Linked DNA regions of Drosophila melanogaster. The protein of the gene in region 1 interacts with the protein of each later gene in a pairwise test. Each region holds a gene or a part of one and is shown in the gene's direction. Other genes may lie near its edges.

Region 1 (6,631 bases):
CTCATCGGCATTCTCAACCACGGCAGCGGAGGACTCCTCATCCTCAGCTGGACGGGCAGCCACAAAGCCAACAGCCAAGAAGGCCAAAAGAGCGACAAGAATCAGGGAACGCATTTTGAAGTTGAGTCTAAGAAGTTATCGCGAAAACTGCTTTCCCATTTCGTACAACATTCAGCTATTTATAGGAAAAGTCTCGCAAATTTTGGCCGATTCGTAGAATCTACTACGAAATCTTTATTTACGCTTTGGTATTTGAACAATTGTCTCAATGGAAAGTTTTACAAGCGTATTTTTGGAGATATTTTTTTTTTTAGACAACAACAAAGGTTCGTTGTGGGGTTTCACAATTAATTTCTTTCCGTAGTTCATTGTCACGGAGTGGGGGGAGTGTTTAAAATGACTGGACCGATTCCACCCCACTTAGGCCATCTGGGGACAGGACGAATAGTCGATCGGTTACTGGATCCTGATCCTTCTTCAGTGCTACTGTTCGCATATGGATGTGCCATCACAGTGGAAATGGCCAGGAAAGCGACGAGAGCAATAATTCCTAAATAACGCATCTTAATCCACTTGAATTTCTCCGGTAACTACACCTTTCTCCTATCAACTGCACATTTTATATAAAAAACGGAATGTTTCTTCTTATTCAGAAAAATTTTACCTGCCAAGCTGTGCAATCTGTAGATTGCCATATATGTACAAAAGTAAATATTGCAGTTTTATCTGCCAACTCTTCCGTCACCTGACGATGTAAGTGAACTACAATTTAAGAGATATATTTAGGAACTGAGAGGCATATATCATAAGCAGCTTTCTTTGCACTAAAAATAACTTGAAAATATATAAATTCTGTAGCACGAAATTATTCAAATTCCCCATATAATCATTGTTGCTATAATATCACTGGGAATGGCAGTCAAAAACTTTAGAGATATATTGTTTTACAATAAAATAGCCGTAAAAATTGCTAAAGCAATTCTGTAACACGGGATTTTAACGAAAATACTTGGGGTTATGACATACAGCTTATCTTGTGTTATGGTACTTTAAATGAAATAATTTACTTTAACTATATATATAATATCAGCATATTAGCAAAATCAAATTATTTAAAATCTTGTGGCCAGATTTTAAATACCAAAGACTGTTATTTAACTGACATTTAAGCATACATTTTTTTAAAAACTGATGGTATGAAAGCGTATTCATTCTATATAATTTTTTTAACTGTGTAGACAAGCCCCTCAAGCTAAACAAATTCTGCAAAAAGTATTATATACTTTGTGGCGTTTTTTCATATCGATCGACATATATAGCTTTAATTTATTTACTGTTTTATTTGTTGTATAATTTTAAAGCATTTTGTCTAATGTTTATTGTTAATGGATATTTTAAAAACACGTGTTATTAATCGAGGAAAAGGGGCCTTGCTTGGATGAGAAGAGGTCCGAATGGTCGAATCTGGTTGTTGGGTGGAGCATCCTGCTCCTGATCGCCTTCTGAATCGTTATTATTATCCGATTCGGTATTATCATCAGACCCGTTGTTATCTTCCTCATCATCTCCGCTTGATTCATTATCTGACTCCTCCTGATTATCCTCGCTATTTTCATCATCCTGGTTATCCACATTTCCAGAATCTTGACTTTCTTCAACAGCAGGTTCTTCCTCGGCAGCATCGGAGTTTCCCTCGCCATCATTACTGGACGAATCCTCATTGGTGTTATCCTGGATGGAGGACTCCTCATCCTCAGCTGGCCGTGCAGCCACAAGACCAACAGCCAAAAAGGCCACAAGAGCAACGACAATTAGGAATCGCATTTTTTTGTGTTCTTGTGCTCAGCGAAGTTTTAAACTGATTTGAAACTTTACTCGATCAATCGCTTTTTATATTAAATGCCTTTTTTTGTTATTTGAACGAGTCATTTACGAATTTCATATTTGAACAAATGCTTATCCCATTATTGCGTGGTGACGCACAATCTTAATTGATATTATTCTGGGAATTGTCCAGAATTGTTTTGAGTAAGTGGGTTCGTTGTGCTTGCCTCTATTCTGATTAACAGGTATCTAATAGTCGTGGCACTTGACTATAGCGACCTCTGTTTTTATTTTGTCATATTTATTACACACTCGCATGCAATCATTGAATTAAAAAGATAGTGAATGGTTTTTGGCCTTTTTAAAACATTAGATACAAATTTTCTTACCTTCATTACTATTTACTTCGCCTAAAGGATTTTCATTTCCGTCGTGGTAATATGTGCTAATATAAAGCAAAATAAAAAATCTGATATCTCCAAATCGAACTTCAAAACGTTTATTGATTTCATTTAACTTATAAAGACCAAAAAACGTATTTAAAAGTTTTACCCTGAATAAGTTTTATTTTTATTTTCTTTATTGGTGATTTATCAGTTGCTCATTTCATATTTTGTGTTTGAGAAATTGCATCGGGGGAGAATTTCTAAATATTTTTGTATTTTCGAATTTAAGCCGCTGATGTTGTAGAGCACCAGTCAACTGGGGCTTTTGGGTTGACAATAACGATAACTTCTCCACTTGGATGGGGAAGTGGGCTTGCACTCACAAAGGCCATGGCCAAAAGAGCAATTATCACGAGTACCATCAGAAAGTGCATCTCTATTTCGTAGACTTAGTTCTTCTTTGAATAAGTTTTTTCAAAGTACTGCACTTCTTATATATGAATGCCGTGTTTGCTTTAAAATTTCTATTGCAAACTGCACAATGGCTGCACCTTACTAATGTTAAGTAAATATTTGAGAGATAAAACATTTATTGATCTATTGAGCCACACATTACAGGCAGAAAATTATTTCTTTTTCCCTGCGCTGAAATAAGAGTATTAAGAGTGGCTTTGAGGCCAATTAATTAAATAAAAATTGCATTTTTAAGATTTTGTTTAGTATGTAATTCTTTACAAAATCATTTAAGAGCTGTATAAAAAGAAGTTAAGTAAAAAGCACCAATTATGATGGGTGTTTCCAGAAATGTGTGTATTTACTAGAATAACATAAAAACCTTTACTTATTTGGTTGTTGAAGATGAACTGTGTATTTCTGTGTAAACAGTTGTTTAAACGTCTAACGACCGGTGAAAGCGTGTAGATAAAGACAATAAAGAATAGAAAGGGTTAATTCCCATTAGAGCTACTCTTCATCTTGATTGTACTGGATGCTCTCGTCGCTTTCGGAATCATCATTGTTCTGGGAATCGTCCTCCGGGGATTCAGGCTCATCTAAGTCGTCGTCGGACTCGGGTTCATTTGAATCCTCATCGTCTTTCTCATCATCGTTAGCATTATCCTGCTCATCAGCAATTCGTTTGTCCTCCTCGAGGTCCTCCAAGTCGTCAATGTCCACCGGATTTGCGGAAACTGTGGCCAAAAGCACACATCCAAACAGGGCAAGCAGCAAATAGGCACGCATTGTATTGTCAAATTTAGTTTTCAACTAAGTTCAGTTCCACATTGAAAATACGCTTTTATAGCAAAATCTCTAAATTGGCAGAAAAATAAAAGCGCGCATTGTGACAATTTATTTGGTTCGTTTTGTGTTTACCCCGCGACAGCTGTTGCCTTGGTTTGAGCGTCAAAAAATGAGGCAAAGTCGTGCGTAAACATTTGACTGACGGAACTTGGAGAACGTATAAAGATTACAGTGAAACGTGGCTAACGTCATACTTTTATATACAATATATTGTATAACCTAAGGAAAGCAAACACAGCATGTTATAATCCATAGTTAACTTGCTTATGAAAATGTCTATATCAAATTAATGACTCCTTTTTATTTCTTTGTAGAATAACCACTGTTCCACCTACAATTGTTTACAAATTTTGGGAATGGCCCTCCATATTCTTATTTTCTGATTCATAGCACATTAGCTTGTTTTGCTCCGCTTACTCGAAACTTCTTAATATTTACTCACATGTTCGGTGTCGTATTTGTGGTAAGCCAAAAACAATAACTACTTCTAACTAAATATATCGTAGGCCATGATGGAACCTTGACGATTGTTAGCATAATGTAATCATGTCACAATAAATCGATCGATTTGGACAACTTTTTAAAGATATAAAAACAAAGATAAGCTAATTGAAAATCATAGTCTCAGTTGCACTCAGCCTGTATACTTTTGATAATCATGCAATCCATAGCATTTGCTCTTCTGATCTTTGCCGGTATCCTTGCCTATGGCAATGCAGCTCCCCAGATGAATTTGGGTTGGCTGCAGGCCGTCCTGGCAGAGGCTGGTCAAAGGAATACGACGGTTAAGTTTGGAAACAACACGGTGATCATTACGGGAGTGTCCAATTCCGTTGCCAACAGCAACCAGGGAAATACTACCCCATCGTCACCACGTAACCAATGGAACAACAATTGGTATCCGTACTATAACAACGGTTACTATCGCATCATGCCCACCATCAATGGTCAGATTGTCGAGGGTCCACAGTCCAGTGCAGAGGAATCCCACGAGATTTCCCAAGAGTTTTCTCATGAGATTTCCCAGAGTGACGAGGAATCTGGCGAAGATCAATACCACCAGGAGGATCAAACTGAAGAGGACGAAGACGACAACGAAACAGATCTTTCAGAGGACCAGCTTGATGACCTAGAAGAGGATCAGCTCGATAAAGAGAAAGAGTTGGAAGATGGCCATGACCAATCCGAGGAAGACAACGAAAATGAGGATGAACTGATCGATCCCGAGGAAGATGCTATTGACCAGGTTCTAGATGACATCGAAAAAGAGATAGCCGCTAGGGAAAATGAATAGGCACTGAGCCTTATTGAAAGTTTTCATAAAAAACCACTCCACTACATGTTACATTATTTTCATTTCATATTTTTGGGATCAGTCATTTATAAAAATAAACAGTTTATTAAAAAAATGGATTTTTATTTGAAGCATATTTTTAGACGAACGATATAAAATTCTTTTTAAAATAACGCAAATTTTAAATTTCCATAAATTGTTTAGAATTGAAGAAAACGTAATATGTTTTTCCAATAATTTTCTGTGACAAATTAAATGTTCTTAAAGAAGCCGCAATCATAAAATTTCAGCTTAAGTTGCTTATTTGCGTGGGGCAACTGGAAAAACGTAATGATGTTTAGTTGAATGCACAATCTGTGAAAAAATCTAGGAAAGTGAAAGCAGTTCGTGTTGGAACATCCAGATGCCATTGGAGGGAGCCCAAGGACGAGGACAGCCATTGACGACTTGTGCGCAATTGTAAACAGTTCCTGGAGGCGGTTAAAAGGGAAGAAATGTTGCCAACGAAGGAGTCAACAAGAAGGATAAAGGTAAAAGTGGCAACGGCAGTCAGGTGCTCGTCGAACATAGGCGAATTGCATTATAATGCGGCGCGTGTTAGTAATTTTTAATGCTGACAATGAGATTATAGATTTACCCAGAACGGATAAAGACATTCAATTTCTTTTTTTTTGCATTGGGTTACACTAGGCCATATCTTTTACGATACCAAAAATTGTGAGCGTGGCACCGCCCCTTATATTTAATTTTGTTACCAAAATATCTTTAAGGTAAAACCAAATATTCGGGATCAATTTTTGACCGAGTGAAAAAAGTTTTTGCAATGTTTTTTAATCTGTCCTCATTATCACCAAATACTGAATGAGCTATTGAGATTTTATATATATCCAGTATTGTCTGAGAGGTTTGGTTTTATCTTTTATATGTTAATTGCGCTGTTTTGTTACTTTTACTGCATTGTATTGATTCATTGTATTGTCTTCTCTCTTGTACGTTTACTAGCAGCAGAGCACCAAATCTTAAACATTTCCGCATTAGAGAACCTGAAGTTGCACATTAAGATTACATTCAAAAGAACAAGAATTCAATTACCTACAACACAGTATATATATTATAGTGAAGTTGGGTGCAGTTCATGTTTAAATCTCTAGTTAAACATTAGTTATTGTTTCAGCGAATACACCTAAAAGCGCAATTTACAACATTATTAATTTAAAAGTGATTGTGTTGTTTTTAAACAAGCGATTGTGCGCACGGCACTCCGAACAGCTGTTTTAAACAGCTAATATCTTAACCGTGCGGAATATTTTTTTTTTCTGGTACGCAACACTAAAGTCTAATCTTATAAACTTATTAATCAAAACTTAGTATTACGGACTTTTGCAAAATGGCTTCTTGGCCACAAAAGGATGGTACCTTTTAGCCTATAGTGCGATGGTCGAGAGGGTTTTGGCCATGTTTCCATATCGCCCATTTGCCTACGCCCAACTCAATGCCAATCAATGTCACGCACACAGATGCTCACTCACACGGAGACGGCCACAAGACTCATTCGTAGGGACTTTCACGCACGCATTCCCCTGACAGGCGTCCGTAAGGACTTAATCATAATTTGATTCAAGTTCGACTCGGCCTCGTGCCACTGAAGGAAATTGTAGCATACATTTCAGCGCGCTAAAAATAGACTCCCCAAGAATTTGCTCCCCTGGGGTAGCTTACGAATTTAAGGCCAACCTGACATAATTGGCATACTTTTTCAATTATGTGGCTTTCTTACTTAATTGAAGAATTTTCATTGGCCTCGATAAGATTTAGAGGAAACCTA
Region 2 (6,671 bases), 9.0 Mb from region 1:
GTGAACAAGATCAGCCTGCCCGCCGTCTCCAACAGCTACTCCACCTACGAGGGAAAGACCGCTGTTGCCTCCGGATGGGGTCTCACCTCCGACCAAGCCACCGCCGTGTCTCGCGATCTGCAGTACGTGGACCTTACCATCATCTCCAACTCCAAATGCCAGGAAACCTTCGGAAGCCTGATCGTGACCAGCAGGGTCCTCTGCGTTGACACCACCAACAAGGCCTCCACCTGCCAGGGTGATTCCGGCGGCCCATTGGCTCTCGATGGTGTCCTCATCGGTGCCACCTCCTTTGGATCCGCTGATGGTTGCGAGTCTGGCGCACCAGCTGCTTTCACCCGTATCACTTACTATCGCGATTGGATCAAGGAAACTTCCGGTATCTAAGTGTTGAAGTATGAAATATGAAAACTGCAAAATATTATAAATAAAACTGTAATCATGATTTTACACATGTTAGACTTTTAAATAATGTCTAGAGATTGAGATCTACTCTCTTACCGTTTAATGAATCAGATTTCATAATAACTCTTATAGACTAACTTAATACACTTCTGGCTTTTGATATCGCCAAAGTGGGTACTTTATGATCGGTGACGAAATCGGGGCCTTGGATTGTAAAACCCCACAGCCATTCAACTCCAGGAAAATTATCAATGGCCTTTCATGTGTCGAAATGCAGGCGAAGGTGTGCAGTAAATTAAACAAATAATAAACTAAGCGTTGATAAAACGACAGTCAATAAATACAGAGACCCCGACCCAGACATTCTGGCCAATGTTGGGGGCTAAGACTGAAATCGTGCAATTGAGGACCCGGGAAAATGGGGGGTTCGAAAGCAATTAAGGAAACTGCAGTATGCCAAAGGGAGACGAAGGCCTAGCCTAAGCAACATAATCGCCAAAACGTGCGGCAATTACACGGTAGCTGGAGGAATTGAATGCCAAACATCTGCTGCTCCTCCCGTCTCCGTATAATTTGCACTCGGCCCAAGCAAATTCAATTAACAAACGATGCGGACACGTGCCGCATCCAAGTCGATGACGCAATGTCGATGCCACAATCGCTGACTATAAAAACACCAGCAAATACAACAACAAGCCCAGTACTTCACGTGAAGAGCCCACTCAGACCTGAACTTGGACTAACTCATTACGAGGAACATCAGCTATATATATAATATATGTAAATAAAAAGGCAATTCATTCATAAATTTCATTCAACATAATGAATAGAGTTTCCTATTCACATATTTAAGGGGGGGGGGGGGGCGGGGGGTATTCTATGAATTTGGTCAGAAAAAGGAAATATTACATTTAAAAGATATAGTATAGAATGCAATAACAGGTATTCCCCATATTATTTTTTCAATTCCGTAGTGATAAAATGGCGCAATACCAGGCTACAAGTGCTTTCTTCCTGCTACTTCTATCATCCACACTAGTTAAATCAAGTGAGCCTTGGCTAGATACTTTTGAGCACCCCAAAGAGGAGACACCGGACGATGACGATGCAATCATGGAAAGACGTTGGCAGCTTGGCTACGAAAACTTTCGACTTCGCTGCGAAAAATTCGAGATGGAAGGTAATCAAACCGCTGCTGTGAGAACTCGAATAGCTGGAGGAGAATTGGCCACGCGCGGCATGTTTCCCTATCAAGTGGGTCTGGTGATTCAGCTGAGTGGCGCAGATCTGGTCAAGTGCGGTGGTTCCCTTATCACTCTTCAATTTGTTTTGACTGCAGCCCATTGTCTGACCGATGCCATAGCTGCAAAGATATACACGGGCGCCACCGTATTTGCCGATGTAGAAGACTCCGTGGAGGAGTTACAAGTCACGCATAGAGATTTCATTATTTATCCTGATTACTTGGGATTTGGAGGATATAGTGACTTGGCTTTAATACGACTGCCAAGAAAAGTCAGAACTTCAGAACAAGTGCAACCCATTGAGTTGGCTGGGGAGTTCATGCATCAAAACTTTCTGGTAGGCAAAGTGGTGACCCTATCTGGCTGGGGTTACTTGGGAGATTCAACCGACAAACGGACGCGACTCCTCCAGTACTTAGATGCGGAGGTGATCGATCAGGAACGCTGCATCTGCTATTTCCTGCCAGGATTGGTTAGCCAGCGACGTCACCTGTGCACCGATGGAAGCAATGGACGTGGTGCCTGCAATGGCGACTCCGGTGGCCCCGTTGTGTACCACTGGCGCAATGTTAGCTACCTGATTGGGGTCACCTCGTTCGGCAGTGCCGAAGGATGCGAGGTGGGGGGTCCCACTGTCTACACCAGGATAACCGCATATTTGCCATGGATCCGACAGCAAACGGCAATGACCAACTAAATGCAATTAACGCCTAATTGCAGCCCATTAATTGCTAAACAATATAGTCGGCCCAGACAATAAAACCAATTTGAGCAATGAAACCAAAACAGGTTCTTCTGTCGAGAAAGGAAGGTGCAAATGGTCCATTTTATGTGTGGTTGTTTTCTCTTGAATGAAAATTGTTACCGATAAATAACAATAAACATTTCGGCATTGCAGAAGAGCAAGTCAATTTGGGGAGCTCAATAAGGGCACAAAAGAAAAATTACATTGCCATGGAAATTGCTGATGAATCGCCACTGAAATTGAAATCATTGGGTTGAGTGTCCGTTTTTGGTGAGGGCATATTGGGTACAGACCGCAGCGCCTCCTCCCGCTAATCGCCTTCAATTGGCCATCTGAATTGGCTATTAACCGCAGTGATGTGGTCGGTTGAACGCGTCATAAAATCACGCGGCTTTCGCTGATAAAGAAGGCTGCGGTTGCGAAAACAACTGAAATTTGCGTGTTTGTAATCAAAGAGAGAGTCCAGATACGCAATTGTTAGACGGCGGTATGATTTCCTATGAAGTTTAAGCAGTCTTGACCAACTCACGTCCTACTCCTTGACCTTTATCGAAGGTAAACAAACCCAACTAAACTGTGGGCTTACGGCTTCTCACCCTATAGACAGGAGATAAGATAGCACTCGACTACCATGGGAATTATAAGATACGCTGAAGAGCAAAGCAAACCTTTGCCAATTTTGTATCGCAATATATAGTTATGTATATATCGCGTATGTGTAAAACTAATCAAATTAATTAGCAACCCCATGCTAGGCCTTTGGTATCGCAGCGGCTCGATCTGGAAATCCACTCGAAGCCCATAGCCCTGATTAGATCCGTATCGGGATTAATACTCTTGGATTGGGAAAGTAATTTTGGCGACCGTGTGGCTGAAGTTCATTCATTCATATCTTCGGCACAAAATCTCAACAGATAAGGTAGTTCGAACCGACTTTAGTGGTCCTATCTAATCGGGACAGCTCTATTTCTGAATTGCAACCCAATCGCAGACGCGACTTGGCCAGTATAAAAGACCCCAGCTGGTCCTTGGCCAAACAGTTGAGTTCCCTTAACTGAACAAGCAACAATTCCCAAGATGAAGTTCCTGATCATCCTTGCCCTGGCTGTGGCCGCCTCCGCTTTCCCCGAGCCGGAGCTGCGCCATCGCAGCCGCGAGATGCCCGTCGTTGGCGACATTGGAGGTCGCATCACCGGAGGAAGCAACGCCGCCGTCGGCCAGTTCCCCTACCAGGTGGGACTTTCCCTGAAGCTGAGTGCTCTGTCCAGCGCCTGGTGCGGTGGTTCTCTGATCGGCAGCACCTGGGTCCTGACCGCTGCTCACTGTACCGATGGGTGAGTGTCCCTTGAAGGAATGCCGAAAATATCTTGGAACCAATGTCCTAACCAATTGTATGTTTGATTTATCGCAGAGTTCAGTCCGTGACCGTCTACTTGGGCGCCACCGTGCGCACCTCCGCCGAGATCACCCACACCGTGTCCAGCTCCGACATCATCATCCACTCCGGCTGGAACAGCGCTAACCTGCGCAACGACATCTCCCTGATCAAGATCCCCGCCACCTCCTCCAGCAGCAGGATCTCCGCCGTCAAGCTGCCAAGCATCTCCAACTCCTACTCGACCTTCGTCGGTGACGTCGCTGTCGCCTCCGGATGGGGACGCACCAGTGACACCTCCAGTGGTGTGGCTACCAATCTTCAGTATGTCGACCTGACTGTGATCACCAACACCAAGTGCGCCCAAACCTACGGCACCTCGGTCGTGACCGACTCAACCCTCTGCGTGGCCACCACCGACGCCAAGTCCACCTGCAACGGTGACTCCGGCGGTCCTCTGGTCCTCAAGTCGTCCAGCGAGCAGATCGGTCTGACCTCATTCGGTGCCTCTGCCGGTTGCGAGAAGGGCTACCCCGCTGCCTTCACTCGTGTGACCAGCTACCTGGACTGGATCAAGACTAACACTGGCATCTAGGAAGGAGTCAGGAACTACAATTTCGCTTAAAAATAAAAATCATTTCTAAAAAATTCAAAAGTTTTATAGCTCTATAGGGGGAATTTCGGAAACGTAGATCTTCATTTATAAATTTCTTTACTCAATATAGATCAAAAGAGAACTTATGTTCCCAGTTTGAGGGTCGTCGGTTATAGTAACAATCCATATCGTCTTGTACATATGCTTTTGTCTAAAATCAAAAATCATCACAAAACAGACAAATGAAAATGAATGCAGAACCAAGCTGTTACTGGCATTCGGCGAGTAAGTTCTCATTAAAATTCATTAAATTGCCAAGCGACACAATTTTTTTTTTTTTTTATTAATTTTTATTATTTATTGAATCTTCCCTTTGTGTTAAGAGACTAACAATAAGTGTTCAAATCTTAATCTAACTTAATTAACTTTCACTTAGTGATAGTTTTTTTTTTTCATTAATGCCCTAATAAGTTTATTGCTGGGCTGGGAGGTCGTTGCGGTGCAGCCGGCTTTGACTGCATACTCGGATTAGTTTTCTTGCGAGGGGATTTGTATGGGTGGTCAGCTTTTCGTTATACTTCGTTTTTTTCTCAGCTATTACTTCGATTACTAATTTGATTTTTAGGTCTCTGTGTATGTTTTCGTTCCGAAGGTACCACGGCGCTCCAGTGATAATTCTCAGAATTCTTGACTGTGCTCGCTGAATAATGTCTATGTTACTTCTGGATGCGTTGCCCCACAGCTCGGAGCCATAAGTCCAGATAGGTTTTAAGACGGAGTTGTATAGAAGAGCTTTGAACTCCAGACTAAGTGGAGAGCGAGCATTTATGAGCCAGTGGAGGTTCCTTGCTTTAAGTTTAAGATGTTTCGATTTGGCTTCTATATGTTTGCGCCAAGTGAGCCGCCTGTCCAGATGAACTCCCAGATATGTTACCTCGTCGGCTTGTGGAATGCATATGTTATTCAAGACCAGTGGTGGGCATGTTTGTTTGTTTAAGGTAAAGGTAACCTGCTTGCATTTTTGAACATTTATTGAAATTCTCCAGTCGGCAAGCCATCGTTCTACAGATGTTAAGTGTCGGGATAGGAGTGCCGTGGCTTTTATTGGGCATTTCGAGCGACTGAGTATCGCGGTATCATCAGCGAACGTGGAGGTTGTTAGATTGTAGTCTATGGGGAAATCCGCCGTATACAGGGTGTATAAGATTGGACCCAGTACACTGCCTTGCGGCACTCCAGCTTCGATTGCGCAATCGCGTGAAGTGCTTGTATCGCATCTTATTGCAAACACTCTGTTATATAGGTATGACTTCAGTAGCTTATGTGTGTTTTGGGGCAACAGCTTGATTATTTTAAACAAAAGTCCATCGAGCCACACTCTGTCAAATGCCTGCGCGACGTCTAGAAAAATGGCTGTGCAGTATTCTCGATGTTCAAAAGCAGTACGAATTTCTGACGTGATTCGGTTGACCTGTTCGATGGTTCCATGTTTTTCTCTAAAGCCAAATTGATGTGTTGGAAGTGTGTTGTTTATTCTAAGATGAGGGCTAATCCGAAGGAGTAGCATTTTTTCAAACAGCTTTGAAAGACATGTTAGTAAGCTTATCGGTCTATATGATGATGGCTGCGTTTTATCTTTTCCTGGCTTTGGAATCATTACTATGGTCGACTTTTTCCATTTTTGAGGGAAGTATCCAAGCTTGGCGATTGCGTTGAACAACAGGCAGATGTGAAGAATAGCACACTTTGGGAGTTCAATGAGCATTCTTGGAGTTATTAGGTCGTAGCCAGGCGATTTTCTTGGGTTCAGTTGCTCTTTGATAACCTTTGCTAGTTCACATGGTCGGAATTCAAAGGGTTCTTGAGGATCTAGATTGGCTGCTATTAAAGGAGGGAGAATAAATGTGTTGGTAGAGGGGTTTGGTCGGAATACATTTTGTAAATGGTCAGCGAAAGCACTGGCTCGTTCTTCATCACTTCGAAACCAGGTGCCAGAGGGACTTCGTAGTGGCATAATTGGCGCTATTGGAGTCTTTAGGTTTCTGTGAGCTCTCCAAAGAGGGTACTTAGTGCTGGTGGGAGAGAGTTGCTCGATATATGAACGTTGGCTGTTTTTTTTCCTCTTGTTTGAGAGCATTGGTAAGCCTGCGTGTGGCTATCTTAAGCATGTGCTTAGTAATTGGTGATCTATTAGACTGCCAATCCCTTCGTAGGCGTCGTTTATCTAATACCAGCCGCTCGATTTCGCGATTAGTTTTGATGTAGTTTGGTTTTGCATACGTCACTGGCGGGGTTGAAGCCTTTGCA
Region 3 (9,582 bases), on another chromosome or scaffold:
ATAAGTGAGTGGGATCTGGAATGCTATGTGATATCAATCTAATGGCGGTCATTTCCAGAGGTCAAATGGAAAGCAGTGTGTGGGAGGAGAAGCGGTATAACCCCAGACTGACTAAGGATATTGAAGAGTTTGTCAAAATCATGGAAAACCTAAATTTACCATATCCCAAGAAAATAGGTGGGGATGTGAACATATTACTATATGCGTCTTTTACTAAGTTTAATATCTTTTAGATGCCTCGCTGCCCGCCAATCGAGAGTGCGGGGTGTACGATATACCCAAGGAATAATTCCAACCCCTGCAAACACTATATACGCAGCTTATATAATAATGTTTCAAAGAGACTTGTAATCTTTTAAATAAATAATCATAATAATCTTATCACGATCAAGTTATGACAGCCTCATTTTACTCCCTGACTTCTGTGCTTAATAAGATAAACTTAAAAAACTCACTTCTTTGTTCGCCTTCTTTTGTTGCAGACCATTCTCAATCCGAAGGGTTGTGGCAGTGCCGTCAAGTACAGTCTGCACTCGACTGCAGAGACGAACCAGGAGACTGCCAGTACCACGACCACCTCTACCCATTGTTCCACAACTGGAAGAAGGCGCAAGGGTGGCTCCCTGGGCGGTACTCTCTCCTCGCGATCGACGCGCAGCGAATCCAAGGAATTGCGATCGGCTCTTCAGGATCGGGAGGCTGTCATCCAGAATCTGCGTATACAGCTTTGTCTGGGCAAACTGCCACGTCCCACGGGACCACCGCTGGATGAGTCCGAGAAGCCGGCGGCTGAGCAAAAACTAAACAGACTGAAGACGGAGGCGGAGAATAAGCGAATTAAGATCAAGAACCTGAAGAGTGCCCTGGAGAAGCTGGACATCACAGAGTGAGTAGAATGTTTTAATACTATTTAGCTTGAAGATATTTAATACTTACTTTATTTTATCCACAGCAACATAGACATCCGCATCCGTCAAGCCGAATTGGAATACGCACTCGGCAGAGAAGAACTCCAGATGCTCTCGATTGTGGAGGAGGCTCGCGCCTTGCAGGCACGTCTGGAAAAGTCCAAGCCCGAGGCGCAGACCCTCTACAACATCATCAGCTCTGGAGTCTCCCTGAGTCTGCACGCCGTGCATGCCACCTCGGGAAGATGGGCAGTTCAACAGAGGACAGACCAGCCGGGTTTCTACGTAGAATGGGCTTTAGAGGGTGATGGCTTGTACAAGGGCGATCGCATTTTGGAGATCAACGGACGACTGGTAACCGGAAAATCCAAGGAAGAGCTGCAGAAGCAAGTAGGAAACTCTGGCAAGTGTCAGATGGTTGTACTCCGCAAGAAGTCCGTACCTATACCACAAAAGCAACTAGACCAGGAGAAGGAGAACAACATGAGGCTGCAGCATCGCATATCGTACCTGGAAGAGCAGGTGCGAGAACTGCAGACAGTCAAGGAGCATCATCCATCGCAACAGCAGCAGCAGCAGCAGCAGCAACAGCAAAATCCACAGCAAAATCCACAGCAAAATCCACAGCAGACATCCTCCAATCAATCTCAGCATGTGACCAGCATCAGCATATCATCACCTCCATCAACACCGCCCGAGAAACCGTTGATCTTTCAGCGGGGCAACTATATTACCACTTTGGTGGGGGGCAAACCCATCGAGCTGATGGGTGACGACATGGCCTCGACACAAACCCCTCCCGGACATGTAACCAAAACACTGATCAAGGAGAATACCCACATCGATTTGAGAGATCGTCTGTCGCACATGTACTCCATGCCCTCCAAATCGCTGTCCGCCTCGAAGATCTCGATTAATAGCGATTCTGCCTATATGCAGCACCATCGACGTGATAAGGAGCGCCATCGCGATCGCCAGCACCGGGAACGCCCCAGAGATCCTCTCCAGCAACAGCAGCAACTGCATCGCGAACATCTCATGAGCACGCACGCACGCAGTGTAGAGCACCTGAATCATTACAATGGGTAGGTTATTCGCGATTCTTCGAGATTCTTGTGTAGATGTTCTAGCAAAGACAGGCTTTTTCATAGATTTAAATTTTCCTGACTAATCTCCCCGATCTTCTTCGCCATTCCAGACTGGATCGTCGCCGAGACACGCCCCGACAAAGTGAGTCGAACACACTTCGAGCCCGCCTGCCCAGCGATATGAGGAGTGTAAAATCCCTGGATTTCGATAGCGAAAACGAATCGAAGCCTGCGACTGAGACGCGTACCACTAGACCCACTCCGCCCAAGAAACCCCTCCGGCTATCGCTGCAACGAGCCCAAAGTCTGCAGACCGTGGAGCTGCACCCCTGTGCGGATATCGAACGAAAGCGGCCCATGAAGAGGGTCCACCACAACAACAACAACAACAACAAAGGTGGAGAATCACCGACTGGAGAGGGCCAGACCATGCTCATCGAGAACTGCAGTCCCATGCACACGGCTTCCCTCGGCAGGCACAAGCTCATCTAGAAACCCGATCCCAATCCAACCAAAACTAATTGTTAATCGAAGTAGCTTAATCCTCGACCGATCCTAACCGGCGGTTAAACCCAAAAAACAGGCGGACATGTGCAAAATTACAGTAGGCAATATAATTTTAACCAGCTCCCAAGTGGAAAGTTTCTTATTATGTAGTAGCAGTAGTATGTACTTACATTCTATATCTTGTATAAGTAGGGCTTGGCTATCAACATTTAGTATTGAGAGAATCAATAATTAAGAGTTTTTGTATGTACGATGATTTTATTAGCACAATTTACAAATGTGAATACACGAATATTTTCACCTACTTAAATGCGTTATTTATTTAAAAAATTCGATCCCGGCCTGCTATAAATGTGATGTAACTACAATTTCATGGCATCGGTTGGCATATCAGAAGCTATTACCTGGCAACTCATTTTCAAAGAATTTGTAGCAGTAGTTCTTCAAATTGCTTCGCCGTATCTGGAAAGCATGCCAATATTTACGACCTCCATTGTAGGCACGAGCCTGGCACATATTTTATGACGCCACAGTGATAAGGTATTCAAATGAAAAGCACGTTAGCGTGTTTCAGCTGCGCTTTTAGTAAGTTCAAAGAATTACTTAATAGCTATAATTTGGATATAATTAAAAAAAAGGCCGTTAATAGGATAATAAATATATCATCAGAGCTGGACAAAAGAATCTGATCAATCTGCAGTTGATAAAAAAAACTCAACGAGGGAGATAGAGCGATAGAGCGGTGAAGTAAGCCCGAGATAAACCTGAGAGCGGAACTCTCGCCTACGCGATCGTGCTGACCGCCAAATGCAATATCCGCCGCTCCACCTGGTGGCGCTCTCAATTCTCAATTCTGCGGTCTTCTTGCTCTCGCCAAATCTGCCCCAATGTTCTCTCAGCGAGTCGATTTGCGATGGCAATGCCAGAGGCTCGAAACAGTTCCGTCGCAGGTTTCCAACGGTACAGAGGTGCAATCGCTTAATTCTCGCAAAAAACAATCAGTACCCAATTATAAAATAGTTGCTAACAAGGTGAGTTTGCAACGGACGCGAAAAAAAAGAAGATCAAGGGCTAGTAATCGAGAATATTGGGTGAAGGTTAAGCTGAAGTTGAAGTTACTTGAGTTAATTGTAATTGTTAATTGTTCATAATTTATTGGTTTGCTTACATTTTAGAACCTGATTTAGATATATTACCCACAATTGCGTGTTACCAAAAAGAAACCAGTTACCGCAAAAACGGAGTTTACTTCACTGATTTTTGATTCTCTCATTCACTGTCCGCTCACCCTTGAGTGGGTTAAGGTAACCAGTTATTAATCCAGAAAAATGAGTGGGCAAAAATGCAGCACAGACCAGACACAAAATATTGTACATATCCATTACAATCCACACATTCCACGGCTTAAAACTTCAATAAACATTTAAATTCCCAATCGTGAACAGTTGGTTGAACAAGTGTTTACGATATTCTATCTTTTCATATATGTAAAATTATGGCTTGTTCTTATCTCAAAACTGCATAGCTTCGGCGTTTAAATTAGACGCGAAGTCTCTGTGTGTGAAATCAAGTAATCTTGGCTGTATTGTTTGCAAATTCACGAAGAGAGCCCTGCGATCAAATTGTTCAGATAAGCATCTTCATTAGCATATCGTTTCACGGTAAAACTCAAACTGAGTTATTATTTTCAAATCAATCATATTTAATCAGCAAGCAAGAGCCCTAATAAACCTTATTTGATGGACAAGCAGTGGCTATTAGTTGCAATTTGTGACCCATTTCGTGACAGTTTGAACCAGAATAAGTAAATACCTGGCAAAAAACAGATTAAAATACTTATACGTAATGACAATGGCATTTTTAGTTCCGAAATTCAGTCGCTCTACGAGCGTGAGAATCGTAAATTATGGGACCGATTCCAAGTGCAGATAAGGATACGTGTGTAGAGCAGGTACTGACCGCGTTTGAAGATCGTTTCAGAACTCGAGCGTGCAAGATCGCCAGCATATCGCAGACACATTGATAAGACCGTAAGGAAACCGGACCCATAAACAAATATTGCCCCGATAAAGTGTGACACCCATCCATTTCATTTGTGGAACTTTGGAAGCGAAGTGCGTACGAAAAAGAGATTGTTGATTGACCTTCCCGCAGCCGCACTTAACCCTGTGAAAAAGGCTGTTTGCATTTAGTTTCGTTTGGGTATCGCTCATTATTCACACACATAAATAATAATACCCGTTCGCACATCATATATGACCCACAAATCGTTTCATAAATTGAGGCTAGGCGCTTCAATTCCGCACACAACTGTCCGTTTAAATGGAATCAAGAGAATGTACACCTGATGACGTCCAAGCCAGAGATGAGCTGGAATTCAAGTGCCAGAGATGAGTTGGCATCACGGAATTTGAGATTACAAGACATAAACCCTCCTAGCATTTCCCAAAACTGAAAGTATTTGGTTCCAAATCATTTAAAGCTTTACTATAAAGCATTATATAAATAGTTTTGGAAGATGTTTTTAATATTGAGTCCATATCAATTATCGAAATTTCAGGATTATCATTTAGTTCATTTTTAGCTATGTCCAGTAGATCATCCCTGGTGGGATTTTCTCTGCTTGTGCCACTCAATTTAAAATTATTTATTTATAGACATTTAAACATTTCTAACATTTGCTATCCGAGTCGTACACGTGTCTAATTTAACTATGATTTCCTTGCAGTTCAAAATGATGCAATATCTTGTTGTTAGCCTGGCACTCTGTGCCACAATTTGCTCTGCTGCGCAGACGGTAAGATATATAATCTCGTTAATTTGAAAATCCACTTATAATTAGGACACTGAACTTACTTTGCAGCGCAATATGCCCATTCAAGCCATTGCCTATCTGATTGGACCCGTGCAATCGGATAATACCCAGGTCAAGGGCAACGTGACCTTTACGCAGAACGACTGTGGCCAGAATGTCCATGTGCGCGTCCAGCTGGAGGGATTGAAGGAGGGCAAGCACGGCTTCCACATTCACGAGAAGGGAGATCTGACCAATGGATGCATCAGCATGGGTGCTCACTATAACCCCGATAAGGTAGATGCGGGATTCTTTATAGGATTAGGTGTCTAAATCACTAATATAACTTTTATGTCTCAGGTTGATCACGGTGGCCCCGATCACGAGGTGCGTCATGTTGGCGATCTGGGCAACCTGGAGGCCAACTCCACGGGCATTATCGACGTTACATACACGGATCAGGTGATCACCTTAACTGGCAAGCTGGGGATCATTGGCAGGGGAGTTGTTGTCCACGAATTGGAGGATGATCTCGGTCTGGGCAACCACACGGATTCCAAGAAGACCGGCAATGCAGGCGGCCGCATTGGTAAGTAGTCAGTGTAAAATAATAAAATAATAATAATAATAAAATATTTGTTTTAAACCTTCTTTCAGCCTGTGGTGTTATTGGCATCAAGTAAATATCCCTTCCAACGTGTCAGCCAAATCAATATGCTGCTCGAATACTTTATGTGTAGTTGTGTAACTCCAGGCGTAGTAACTAATGAAATGTTTTCCCAATTTTCCCAATTCCCCCACCCACAATCACACTCACCCTTACATGTTTGGCTTACACATTTCCCTCAATTAATTGTCTCAGTTCACTGACTCACTCGATTTGCCGTGTGTGTGTTTGTGTGTAATAAAATCAACAAAAATTAACCGAAATCTAAGCTAAACATTAGCATACTCTGTACCACTTGTGTTCTACCACCTCATATTCATGGCCTAAACAAACTTTCGCGCTTTGCTGGGGTTGCTTTTCCGAGTGGGTAGGTATGACAGAGAGCCTTTTTACCTATCATTTTTACTAACATCATTAGCATTAGTCGGTCGGTCGGTCGGTCGGTCGGTCGGTCGGCGAAGAGAAGGGGATATTGGAATAACAACTGCCGCTGGAATCGGAACTTTACTGATCCAACCAGGGTTCAATCAAAAAACTCACATTGTATGTTTTCCAGTGGCCCATCTGTACCTGCACCTGCACCACCAACACCACGCCATCAGCCACTGTACTATGTGCCCCATGGGGAGCCACAAGATCATGTTGTCTATCCACTCCAGCACTATCCTTTGCCATACCCACACCCATATCCATATCCGCACCCATACCCCTATCCGTATCCGTTGTCGCACCAATTGTATCTGTGAGATCGCGAGACTACACCGTTCGCCTGTTCCACCTTCTAATTGCAGCTCGGATGTGGACGAGTGGCCATGTCGCGATGGTGGCGCCGGCGCCCTGCGCTACTCCTTCTCCATCCTGACCGTCATCGTGGCCCTCATCATGGCCCGCAGCCTTGACTAATCCGAAACATGCACCCGGATCGGATCGAATGCACGCATGTGGCATGGGATTGTTGGCCATCGTAGTGATCTGCATACCTACTTACACACTAACCACACAACCATGAGTCGCACACCACTACCAACAGTAATTATAATACTCCAGCATTATCCACCCAAATAGAGAAATCAAAGGAACTAACTAAGCTACTTGTAAAGTGTTTGAATTGATCGATAATAAAGTTTGTTATTTGTATTTCGGGTGCTTGCAATTTGTACGTGCTTAGATAGTAACAAAAGTTGCTGAAAATGAACGACAGATAAGGGTTAGCTCTAATTTTATAAAAAAGATTAGACAAAGTGTTTCCAATGGACTGTTAGAATTGCACATAAATCACAGTAGTAGTAAGTTATCAAGAGAATTAAATATAACTTCAATTTTGTATGTTGATTTCTAAGGACAAATAGCTGTTTGTTCCCTAAAATAGGTTACCAAATAAATGAACACTCAAAAAGTTGGTAGGAAAACTATATATAGAACTTCGACGTCACCAAAGCTTTTCCTACCCATACACCTTTATGTGGCTGCGAATGGGTCATATAACATTTAGTTGCCTTTGATTTGCTGAATTCCAGCTTAGAGCCACAATTTGCTTTAAATTGCGGAAGCCTTCAGAAAATATTTGTGCTCCAATCATTCAGAGAACTCCAATTCCCAGGGATTTTGATTCCAAGCCGCCGCAACTAATGGTCAAGCAACAGTTTTTGCTTTTATTTTTTCTAGATTTCTTCGACCAGATAGGCTCAGCCAGAGAATGGGTCAAACAGTGGGATTCTAGAAAACCTAGGGCCATAATTCCCGACACGCAACACTAACATCATCCGAAAGACTGTGGCATACTTCTGGGCGTCTTTAATTATTTCGCACAGTCCTCAGAGAAAGAGAAAGCATTTACAACTTTCTTTGCCGCGCACGAAAGCACGCAATTAATTTCGCCTTGGGCCCGGTCGAGTTCCAAGTGCTAAGTGCCGAACTTTAAAGGGAAACACATAGACGTGGGCGCACAGCTAAATTTTTATGGTAATAAGTGCAATGACCCACCCGGAATCCAGCTGGAGATGGCGAATGGAGCCGTGAGTGAGGCAAGTGAGGTAAGCCCCGGGCGACCCACAAAACGCAACCAATCGCCTCGCCTCGCCTCGCTGCTTTGGTCAAAGTTCTTTGGTATCGAATGCTAAATCAACAGTGAAATAAGCCAGCACGGAGTTCCAGCCCCTATAGTCCATATAGTCCGTCATAGGCCCATGCCCGATCCCTATTCCGATTCCAGCCTAATCATGCCTGGCCTAAATTCGAATCGGGCCTCCAAGACTTTCACTCGCTTTCGCTTTTGTTCCGCCGCTACCCATTGCTAGCCGTACCCCAACCGCAATCCGGATCCGTTGCCACCACCAACCCGGCAAGTGGCAAGTGGCCACAACAGAACCGGGCCCTTCTAAAGCCCAGCCGGACCGTCGCTCCGGTCAGTTCGCGGTTAAACTCCAGTGCGGTCAGTCGATTTGGGCCATCGCTCTGGATCACTAAGTCATATCACGCACCAAAGCGATTCTGTATTTGAATTGATCTAAAGTTGAAATAACTTGAATTAGTGCTTCGCCCCAAAAGGAATCTCAAAATGCGTTCTTGCGGTCCGAGTTTAATTAAATATGTCTTATTCGCATTTAATGTGCTGTTTGCGGTAAGTGCAAGTGATATGATATATGAGTAAAATATCTAAAGGATACTGAGAATATTATGCTAAATACAATACATTGCATCATACTGCAAATCACTTTGTTTCTAACAAATCATATGCCAATCAAATTGACTTATTGATATTAATTTCAAAAAAGAATCATAAAATTTTATGAAATGACATAACTATTTTCTGGGAATTTTCGAGGTGCAAACTGTTACTGCAATTATGAAAACGGATTGAACCGTCCAAACGTAACATTCTACCAGATTTATTTTTGCTCGTAATTAGTTCTAATTCGCCATAAGCACTATAATTACGCTTGTGCTTGGAGTCTTGTTCGCCTGCCTCATTTAGATAAGTATCGCTGGAAAATGGCACTCTCACTCACGGAAAATCGGATAATCGGATAATGTTCAAACGCGATGGCCTGTAACGACATGCGAGTGATGTATGCGTGCTCCAAAGGACATGGACATCGGGTGTCCTTCGCATTGACCAACTGCGCAAGCAGTTGACTTTCAATGACGGCACGGACTTGAACATGGAAATGCCATTGACTAAGTCGTGGGCGATTTTTATCGTTCAATTAGAATAGGGAATGTAAATATAAATGCCTGCCATAGCAAATTAGGACATGATTGGAAGCCATTAACTAAATTGCTTAACGGTTCTATTGGAGGTCGATTCGATTAATCGAAGGTACTAAAATTTCTTACAGATCTCCGGCCTGGGAATTCTTATTGCTGGTGCCGTTGTCCTGGCCGATGTGAATGAATTCAATCACTTTGTCGAAGGTCGAGTCCTTGCACCGCCAATTGTCCTCATAGTCACGGGCCTGATCATATTCCTGATAGCTTCGCTGGGCTGTTTCGGAGCGATCAAGGAGTCTCCAACGCTTCTAATTACTGTAAGTTTTCTAGAGAAGCTCCCAAGAAATGTCCTAACCCATTCGAATTTCATTAACAGTTTGCTGTCCTTTTGGCCGTCATCTTCATTGT
Region 4 (8,426 bases), 110 kb from region 1:
TGGCAGAGACGCCATTTTGCGCTGCTACTGTCACTTTACATGCCACAACACACAATTGACAGCGCGGATATTTATGTAAATAATTTTTCATGTTGCCGGTCGGCGGCAGGCAGTGACAACAAAAGTGTGCACTTTCCGTTGACGTGACCCGCGAGTTCGCAAAATGCAAAGAATGCGAAAAAAAAAAGAAAATAACATACAACATTTTCACGCAGAAAACAAACAAAAATAGGCGAAAAATGGACGGCCGCACACAATGGGGTTAAAGGTTGGCGCCCATTCATCTATTTCTCACCCCGAAAGGTCTGCATAAAGAGCCCATTGTCGCGGCACAGCCCACAAAATGGTTAAAGTGCAACACGGATTGCAGTGGGCGAAAGGATTGTACAAAACCGATTTCCACACGGACTTGAAAAGCAGAGCGCGGTCAATATGCAAAAGTAACGCATTTTTTTCGCACCCATAAAAGCGTTTCAATTATTCCACAAAAATTGCTATATCCTATACAATGCAGTTAAAGTATTTAATTACTTTTTATCTGGTAGAACTTATTGGTGCTTATATGTATAAAAAATATATGCATATCTAAACGATTTCACCTCCACTGTATTATATTTCAGAAATCGTTTAATATTTCAATATTTAGTTGAAGTAAAAAGTGAAAGTTGATACATATTCAAAATGTTGGATAATCTTTTTTAAAAAATATTTCTCTGAAAGTAAAGCTCAACATTTTCTATGATTTCTTTTAAGTTTTATATTAATGCTTTGAATTGTTGTTCAATAAGTGTATGTATTTTAAATAAATTGGATTTAAAGATTTAAAACTATTTCCAGCACAAATGCTTGTAAATGCCTAAAAATTTGACATGTTCTCAATATTTTATGAATTACTTTATATTCTTTTAAGCGGAAACTCGTTGCCATCATTTTAAATTTGCATATTACATTTACAACCCCTTTGCATCCTCATTAAAGATGTCGATTAAGTGTGAGTCCTATTGTTCGTAATGCGCCCCTAATTATAACACATTGCAATGCAATTAATAGGCGCGACAATTAAAAGTAACGAGCGATGAAAATCAATATGGATGTTCATAAGTGACAAGTAACCGATTTGCATCAATAATGCCAAATGAAGAGCGAACGATTTCGAAACGCTTTCGAAACTTTTGTCGGCAGAAAGGATTTGGCATTCTAAACCAGTAAATATGCTTAAAACGAATGGCCAACTATTTGAAATTGTCCAATGCAGGAGTTCGTGGCCCAGTTAGTACAGACTGAACTAATTTGTCGGAAATGACATTTTTTGGTTATTCAGCCAACGGATGTGGACTTTATGTATGTGAATTTTCACAGCCCATTTATAGCAATTTTCGGGTGGCAAAGCACCAAATTTGATGGCCGATTTGAGTGACAGGAGACCGGAGCACGAGTCGCCGAATATTTTAAGTCTTTGCGCGACGCTTTTCCAAAATGACGCCTGCTAATTTAATTAATTCCCACCTGGCCCGATGGCAGAAAAGTTTAGTCCTGCCGCAGGAAGCAGCTCGCAGCTCTCAGCTCCCAAAAAACCCCCAAACCCAATCGCCCATCAGCAATACACGTAATTGAAACATTCCTTGACCAGCGAAATTATAAAGGAGTCGCCCGAAAAAGGAAAAAACTTACTTCTGCCGCAATTATTTGGCACGTCTCCACTAATTAATTACGCCTTTTGGCTCCACGTCCTTTTTTGGGTGGCTCAGTGGTTCGCTCGGCTGTTCCAAGTTGAAAATGTCCACGTTTAATTAAATATGGCTCGGCTGCGGCGGCTCTATAATTAATTTCGGCACTGCAATTTTGTTTAAAGCAAAGAATGCGGCCCAGGCAAAAAAAAAAAAATATATGTTTGTGCCACGGCGAGCTGAAAACCGAACCGAATTAGAGCAGGACATCTGCACGGATGGATACAGCCTCCCGCGCGGGGATTCCCCCAATCCAATATCAATTTGAAATCTACACGGAGGGAAAATTGCGCCCTTTTAGTTTGATTTAGTATGAGCTAATTAAATTTTCACTTGCATTTCAAAATATAGTTTACAATAAATCTTAAAGCGTCTTATAATTGTTTATTTCATTTAGTTTTTTAATTTACTTCAAAATGTGATAGTGCTATCTATTTATACTATAGATACGTAAGTAAGTACAAAAAGCAAGTTCCTCTTGAATATTATTATGAATAATAGCACTTCCTTGACTATGGGAAGGAAAAAGTGAATTTGAGTTAGCGTGTCAGTAGATTAATATGTACCTAATTGTGTATCTATGTGCCTTGCATTTAAATTTAAATAATGAAGATGGTTTTTTCGCAGTGCGTATTCGAAATCGGAATCAGAGCCTGGGTTGGTGGCCAGGGCATTAAAGTGTCAATATCCATTAGGCAGTCCTGATTGTTTAAGCTGCTTTACGCCAACTTCTCTTCTGGCTTTCTTTACCCATTCTCCGGCTCCGGGTTCCAAGTTTCTTGACACGCTCTCTTCTCGCTCTTTTTTTTTAGCCCGGTTCTTTTGTCTCCGGAGTCTTTTATTGCCGGCAAAGCCGTAGCACAATGACTCCTTCTCCGCTATTTGTTCTGGCTGATGTTGGGCTCATTGTTTCAAATAAGAAATGACGCGAATTGGCTAGAGCGAAATGGTTAGAAATGCAAATTAGCGGGAGATAAGAGTGGGCGTGGTCGAGGGAAATGGCCATGGCAGAAAACCCGAATGCCCTGTGGCCATAAGTTGCGCAAATATAAGAGGATATACTAGGAAAAAGGGCTATGAACTTGTCAGTCGGCGAAGCCAAGGGATAAATATTTTTGAGACATTTTCAAATCCAATTTAAAAGTGACCCATAAAAGGACTAAGAACTTTGTGGCAATTTTTTAGAAAGGATAGATTCAAAAATTGAGTTTATATCTCGAAGTATATGTCACTTTTAAATTTTGCTTAAGGCCTAAATAAAAAAAACTTTATTTGAAAATGTGTAAGGTCAAAGTCAAGCTGTTATATATTAAAAATCCATGGTATCATTGTTTATTATTTATACATACATATTACATATTACATATTCACATATTTACATATTTACATATTTATACATACAGTTACACATTGTTAAAACTGACACTTCCACTTTTTTATGAACTTTCCCAGATCCAAAGCGTGATGCTCTATTCCATACCCTTTCCAATCCATTTACTTTAATTTAGAAAGTAAAAAAAGTGTAAAATTACCGCTGGCTAATCTTTGTCATCTGCTGCCTTGCCTGATTTTACAGATTTCTTGTCCAGGTAATTGCAAAAAAAAAGTGAAGTCGGCGAAAGAAATGACAAAGGAAACTGTAGAGTGGCCAGGAAAATGAGAAAGCATCGGGAACTTGAGCTTAATTGGTAATTACACAAAGTCGCGGTATGTTCTACACCTACATACAATTATTTGTGACCCTACATGGATGCTGGGTTCATGGACCTTCAATCAGTCGGGCGAAAAGCCATTTGGTGATTTATATTTAGGCGAAAACTTTTAACTTTAACCAAAATCCCCGGGGATAAACCACGGTCTTCTATTAGTCCGCTTCTTTGAAAGGGGTTTGTGGGGTGTGGGGGTTGCAACCCCTAAAAGCTAAGCATTAGCTGCGCGGGCTGTCGAAACTTGTGGTTCCTTTCAATTAACCTTTCATCTGTTTAACATGTATTATAAAATTAGACGCGGTCTCCTGGACCACAGCAGCAGCAGTGGGTTAAGGCGTCTGAGTGGGGGGGTGGTGTTATTGCCGATGGTGGGCAATGGCGGCCTAATGTATGCACAACCACAACCCCAAGACATGACAACACTATTAAACATTATTCGTGGCCATGGGAAAGGACGGCCAAGCGGAGGTCCTAATTGTCGCCGGGCCAACGCGGCGTATGCGCAATCAATGGGGTAAAGCTCCGGCTAATGAAGGATGAAATCAAAAAATCGCCTAAGTAAAAGTTAAAGCTTATATAAATGTAAGGCTTGACATTGGATTTTTTTAAATCATTGCTTATAGTCAGTGAGGGTATTTTGTATTCGTTAATAAACAGTAAATGTAAAGTGTGTATCAAAATCAATACCACCAGACGAATCAAATTTTGGGAACTATAAGAGCTAAATTTTAACATTAAATAATCATGCAGTTTCAGCAAAACTTTGCTTAAAATAAAAACATTTTTATAACCTTTATAATTTTAAATTGTATTTTTTTGAAATGTAATAATTGGCATGCATGTTGCTATTGTAATGCAATGTAAGATCTAATCATAAGTTTCTATGTTAATAAGATAAGCACTTAAATAAGCGTTTTATATTGTGTCAATGGCATTTACCTCTTATAAACGGATAAAATAGTTTTAAGATTTCTTGATGTGGCCCATTTATTTTTAAAACTGCATACTTATCTACAATTACTGCATCTCGCCCGATTTTTAACATGTAAAATGCGACATGTAAAGTAAGAGCTGGCATGTAGATACGGATACGATAACAGTCAATCGAACCGAACCACAGCGAACATCTGTTTGGCCGTACCATTGCGGCGTACTGGCAACGCCAATTTCAACACGTCACCTGTCTTGTGCAAAAACGATGTAATATTTATTGTTTACGTCTGCATTTCGTCTGTTTTGTTCCTTTTACGTGTTCACGATGAAGTTCGCCGACGTGCTGCGTCGCCTGGACGCCTATCCCCGCACACTGGATGACTTCAGCGTTCGCACAGTGGGCGGCGCCGCAGGTGGGTGCAGGTGTACAATTGATTGTGGCGTTAAGGAACCCAAACAACCGGCTTTTCTCTGATTTTCAGTTACAATTATCAGTACCAGCATCATAAGCCTACTGATCTTCCTCGAGGTCCTCAACTACATGCAGCCAACCCTAAATGAAGAGCTCTTCGTGGACACCACTCGTGATCACAAGTTGAGAATAAATCTGGACGTGACACTGCATAATCTGGCGTGCAACTACATCTCATTGGACGCAATGGATTCATCTGGCGACACACACTTGAGGGTGGACCACGACGTCTTTAAGCACCGGCTGGATCTCAATGGCGAGCCCCTCAAGGAGACGCCCATCAAGGAAATCGTTGCAGTTTCGCCGCCCAATAAGAATGTCACTTGCGGCAGTTGTTACGGAGCGGAGCACAATGCTACTCAGTAAGATAGTGAACAGCTTCTAAGTTCAACCATTAGTTCCACCTATTTTCGCTGACAAGATTTATCTAAGGAGATATCTGTATCTAGAGCTAATTATAGCAATGGCTTTCTAATCTCCCCCTTTTAATACCAACTACCATCCTATCTAGCTGCTGCAACACGTGCGAGGATGTTCTCGACGCCTACCGGCTGCGCAAATGGACCGTGGCCGTGGACAAGATCGAGCAATGTAAGGGCAAGTACAAACGCAGCGACGAGGACGCCTTCAAGGAGGGCTGTCGCATCCAGGGTCACCTGGAAGTGAATCGAATGGCCGGCAGCTTTCACTTTGCGCCCGGCAAGAGCTTCTCCATCCGCCAGTTCCACATCCATGACTTTCAGTTCAGCAATGTGAAGCTATCGCACACAATCAATCACCTATCGTTCGGCGAGAAGATAGAGTTCGCCAAGACGCATCCCTTGGATGGACTACGAGTCGACGTGGCTGGTGAGTAGTGAACACAAACACGGACTCGTAATTCTGTAACATCTCTATTGCAATAACTTAGCGTAATTTAAACAAGATTGGAGTAGGGCTTAAGGTTGTGGTTGTTTAGTAACTCTAGTCAAATGCCAGCAGGATCAGCAGCGAATCCCCGTGCCGATGGCCATAAAGGTGCCAAAGGTTCCGCCGCCCTGGACCATGGTCTTGCCCACGTTGTTGATCAGCTCCCGCCCGCGTAGTCCGTATCTAAAGTGTATTTCAATGTGGTTCGTTAGTTAGCCGGAGTAATTACATAATTGCCGGCCTCCACTTGCGTCACTTCTTTGGAGGAGCGCTAAGTGGAGCATCCGAGTGCAAAGTCCAACTAACCTGAGCGCCGAGAACCCGCCAAAGACCGCACCGCTGGCCATGCCCACGCAGAATCCGATGATGAAGCCCGTCTTCATCTTATCGAAGCACGTTGGTCCCTGCTGGGAAAATGAGCTCGTAGGCAGAGGCATGCCGCTAAGTCCGTGGTTTTCCTGGTTCACCGGCTCTATATGAGTTGATACCGCTGAGTAGCAAGCTCCGCTGCTCCGACGCACTTATGAATCTCGCAGAAGGTTCGTTTATTTTAGGAATATTCAAAATATTTCTATTTATTTCGGCACCGACTAGTCGAATAATTCGTAAACGTGTGAGTGTGAGCAGCTGAGTGATGGTGTGCGTGAGCTGTCAAATTATAGAAGGGTTGCCACTTTGTTTTTCGCTCGGCTTGCCTCGTTCTAGAGAAAGCCGATAGGGGGCGGTAGCTAAAAAGCGGGTGCTTTAAAATCAATTTATATTCTTTATTTATTAATATTATTAAAAAGCATACTTAAGACTGAAATAAAAAAAAACTAAGTTATTTAAGCACAGGCATCCATTTTAATTTATATTTTACTCCTCGAAGAATTTCTGGGAAACTTCGGAGGTCTGTTGTGTGGGGCATTTTCATTTTTTAAATTGGAAAAAATATACTCATTTGTTCGAATTGTGAAATACCTGTTTTTAGAAGCATGAAGTTTAATTCGTAATTACCTTACCAAATTAAATACATTTATCAACGACAAATGAAGTAAACTAGAAAATCTGCTCTCCTCTTTTTGCAGAAACCAAAAGTGAAATGTTCAATTACTATTTAAAAATTGTTCCCACATTATATATGCGAGGAAACAGCGACGGCGAGCCCATATACACGAATCAATTCTCCGTCACGCGATACCGAAAAGATCTTTCAGATCGCGAGCGCGGAATGCCGGGGATATTCTTCAGCTACGAGCTCTCGCCACTGATGGTGAAATATGCGGAGAGACACAGGTCAGTAAGCCACAAAGCTAATGGTTAATTTTACAAGTTTTATTGGTTGTGTTGTGTATTCCCAGCTCATTTGGCCACTTCGCCACGAATTGCTGTTCCATCATCGGAGGCGTGTTCACGGTGGCCGGCATTCTCGCCGTGCTGCTGAACAACTCGTGGGAGGCCATTCAACGGAAACTGGAAGTCGGCAAGCTCAGCTAACAACAATTCGAATCTCTTATGCAGCTTTACTACGCCTAACTCAATATACATTCGACAAATCTCCAAATAAAAGTGCTTAATTTTATAGAAAATAAGGATAGAGCTGTTCTCTTAAGTGGTCCGCTGTCCCACTGACATGAATCCGGATGTGTTTGAAAAGTATTTGGCATTGGCCTCCGTCTGCGAACGCTCCGCCGCCTGCGGATTCACAATCTCTAGACCTTGCAGTGGCGTAAAGGCCACACTGGATGCCGTTCCGGAGATTTGGCGTTTGACCGTGGTGTTGCCGCCGTACACCTGCTGTTTCTGCAGATTCTTGTGCAACGTTTTGCTAATGCGCACCTTGGTCTTCTCATCCACCTGGGGCAATCGGATGCGGCCGGTGCCAGTTTTGCCGATGGTGCCGCGTGAATAGCCCAGATCTCCTTGGTAGGCATCCTCTTCGATCTGAAAGAAAAGTTCAAAGATTAATACATAACCATTATATTTTTAAGCCAGAAACTTACGTCTCCGAAATTCATGCGGTTCGCTTGCTTGCGGAACTCTGTCAGCGCATATCGTTCCTTCATCTTGCGCACGCGTTTGCCTCCTCGCTTCTTCTTGCTTCCCTCGATGGGTTTGGGCAGCGGCTTTATGAACTTCACCGGCGGCGGCTCCTGCAGCTTGTCCAGCTTCTTTTCCACATCCTCCTTGAAGCGCAGTCCAATCTCCCCGTGGACACTCTCATGACAGGCATCAACACGAGCAGCCAGCACGGACTTGGCGGCCACCAAGCGAGCTGCCTTGCGTCGCAGATCTGGCGCAGTATCCTGCACAATCTGTGAGTAGTACACATAGCCAGTGTGCGGCAACATCTGCGTTTGTGAGAAGCCCGAGAGGGTTTTCTTTTGTGCACCCAACACCTGAACATTGCAGGCCGGCATTTTGGATAATTTGGAAAGGCCACCAGCAATGCCCAAGAGTTTAGCCGCCGTCGATGCTCCAACAATCATGGAAAGATTTGGGGCTATGAAGGTCATGCGACTTTCCACATACTCGTAGATCTTGGACTTGAAGTTATTCAGTTCGATGGCCATTTCGCAGGCCTCGTCGATCTTTGCCTTCTCCGCCGGTGTCAGCATGGTTCTGCGAAAGGGAATGGGATTCAGTGACATGTTATTTTGGGTTACACCGTTCAAATAACTTACCCCTGTGTGGTGG

Evidence for each region.
Region 2: the proteins of EAChm (region 1) and Jon65Aiv interact in a two-hybrid assay, tested with the Drosophila melanogaster proteins (one large-scale study listed by BioGRID).
Region 3: the proteins of EAChm (region 1) and Sod3 interact in a two-hybrid assay, tested with the Drosophila melanogaster proteins (one large-scale study listed by BioGRID).
Region 4: the proteins of EAChm (region 1) and CG7011 interact in a two-hybrid assay, tested with the Drosophila melanogaster proteins (one large-scale study listed by BioGRID).

The regions. Positions count from the first base shown.
Region 1 is NT_037436.4:15,050,652-15,057,282, forward strand, and holds EAChm (enhancer of acetyltransferase chameau), read left to right. Parts: upstream 1-4,125; 5' UTR 4,126-4,170; coding exon 4,171-4,806; 3' UTR 4,807-4,914; downstream 4,915-6,631. Other genes in the region: CG12310 (uncharacterized protein), read right to left, coding at 1-114; CG43679 (uncharacterized protein), read right to left, coding at 372-563; CG13461 (uncharacterized protein), read right to left, coding at 1,411-1,824; CG43680 (uncharacterized protein), read right to left, coding at 2,495-2,644; CG18649 (uncharacterized protein), read right to left, coding at 3,174-3,452.
Region 2 is NT_037436.4:6,035,725-6,042,395, forward strand, and holds Jon65Aiv (jonah 65Aiv), read left to right. Parts: upstream 1-3,430; 5' UTR 3,431-3,471; coding exon 3,472-3,728; intron 3,729-3,805; coding exon 3,806-4,364; 3' UTR 4,365-4,411; downstream 4,412-6,671. Other genes in the region: yip7 (yippee interacting protein 7), read left to right, coding at 1-387; CG6462 (uncharacterized protein), read left to right, coding at 1,387-2,346.
Region 3 is NT_033778.4:11,377,967-11,387,548, reverse strand, and holds Sod3 (superoxide dismutase 3), read left to right. Parts: upstream 1-3,434; 5' UTR 3,435-3,534; intron 3,535-4,473; exon of another isoform or gene 4,474-4,617; intron 4,618-5,231; 5' UTR 5,232-5,237; coding exon 5,238-5,300; intron 5,301-5,366; coding exon 5,367-5,594; intron 5,595-5,657; coding exon 5,658-5,886; intron 5,887-5,954; coding exon 5,955-5,976; coding exon of another isoform or gene 5,977-5,980; exon of another isoform or gene 5,981-6,520; coding exon 6,521-6,710; 3' UTR 6,711-6,755; coding exon of another isoform or gene 6,756-6,867; 3' UTR 6,868-7,100; downstream 7,101-9,582. Other genes in the region: CG30022 (uncharacterized protein), read left to right, coding at 1-4, 59-177, 234-289; sprt (sprite), read left to right, coding at 483-886, 953-1,993, 2,107-2,488; Tsp47F (tetraspanin 47F), read left to right, coding at 8,522-8,584, 9,303-9,491, 9,551-9,582. UniProt on the Drosophila melanogaster protein: Protects the extracellular space from the toxic effects of reactive oxygen intermediates by converting superoxide radicals into hydrogen peroxide and oxygen.
Region 4 is NT_037436.4:15,159,764-15,168,189, reverse strand, and holds CG7011 (uncharacterized protein), read left to right. Parts: upstream 1-4,561; 5' UTR 4,562-4,694; coding exon 4,695-4,782; intron 4,783-4,851; coding exon 4,852-5,203; intron 5,204-5,352; coding exon 5,353-5,690; intron 5,691-5,719; exon of another isoform or gene 5,720-5,824; coding exon of another isoform or gene 5,825-5,933; intron 5,934-6,056; coding exon of another isoform or gene 6,057-6,187; exon of another isoform or gene 6,188-6,373; intron 6,374-6,817; coding exon 6,818-7,025; intron 7,026-7,051; exon of another isoform or gene 7,052-7,090; coding exon 7,091-7,226; 3' UTR 7,227-7,314; downstream 7,315-8,426. Other genes in the region: CG6878 (uncharacterized protein), read right to left, coding at 5,825-5,933, 6,057-6,187; Prp31 (Pre-mRNA processing factor 31), read right to left, coding at 7,338-7,673, 7,733-8,351, 8,414-8,426.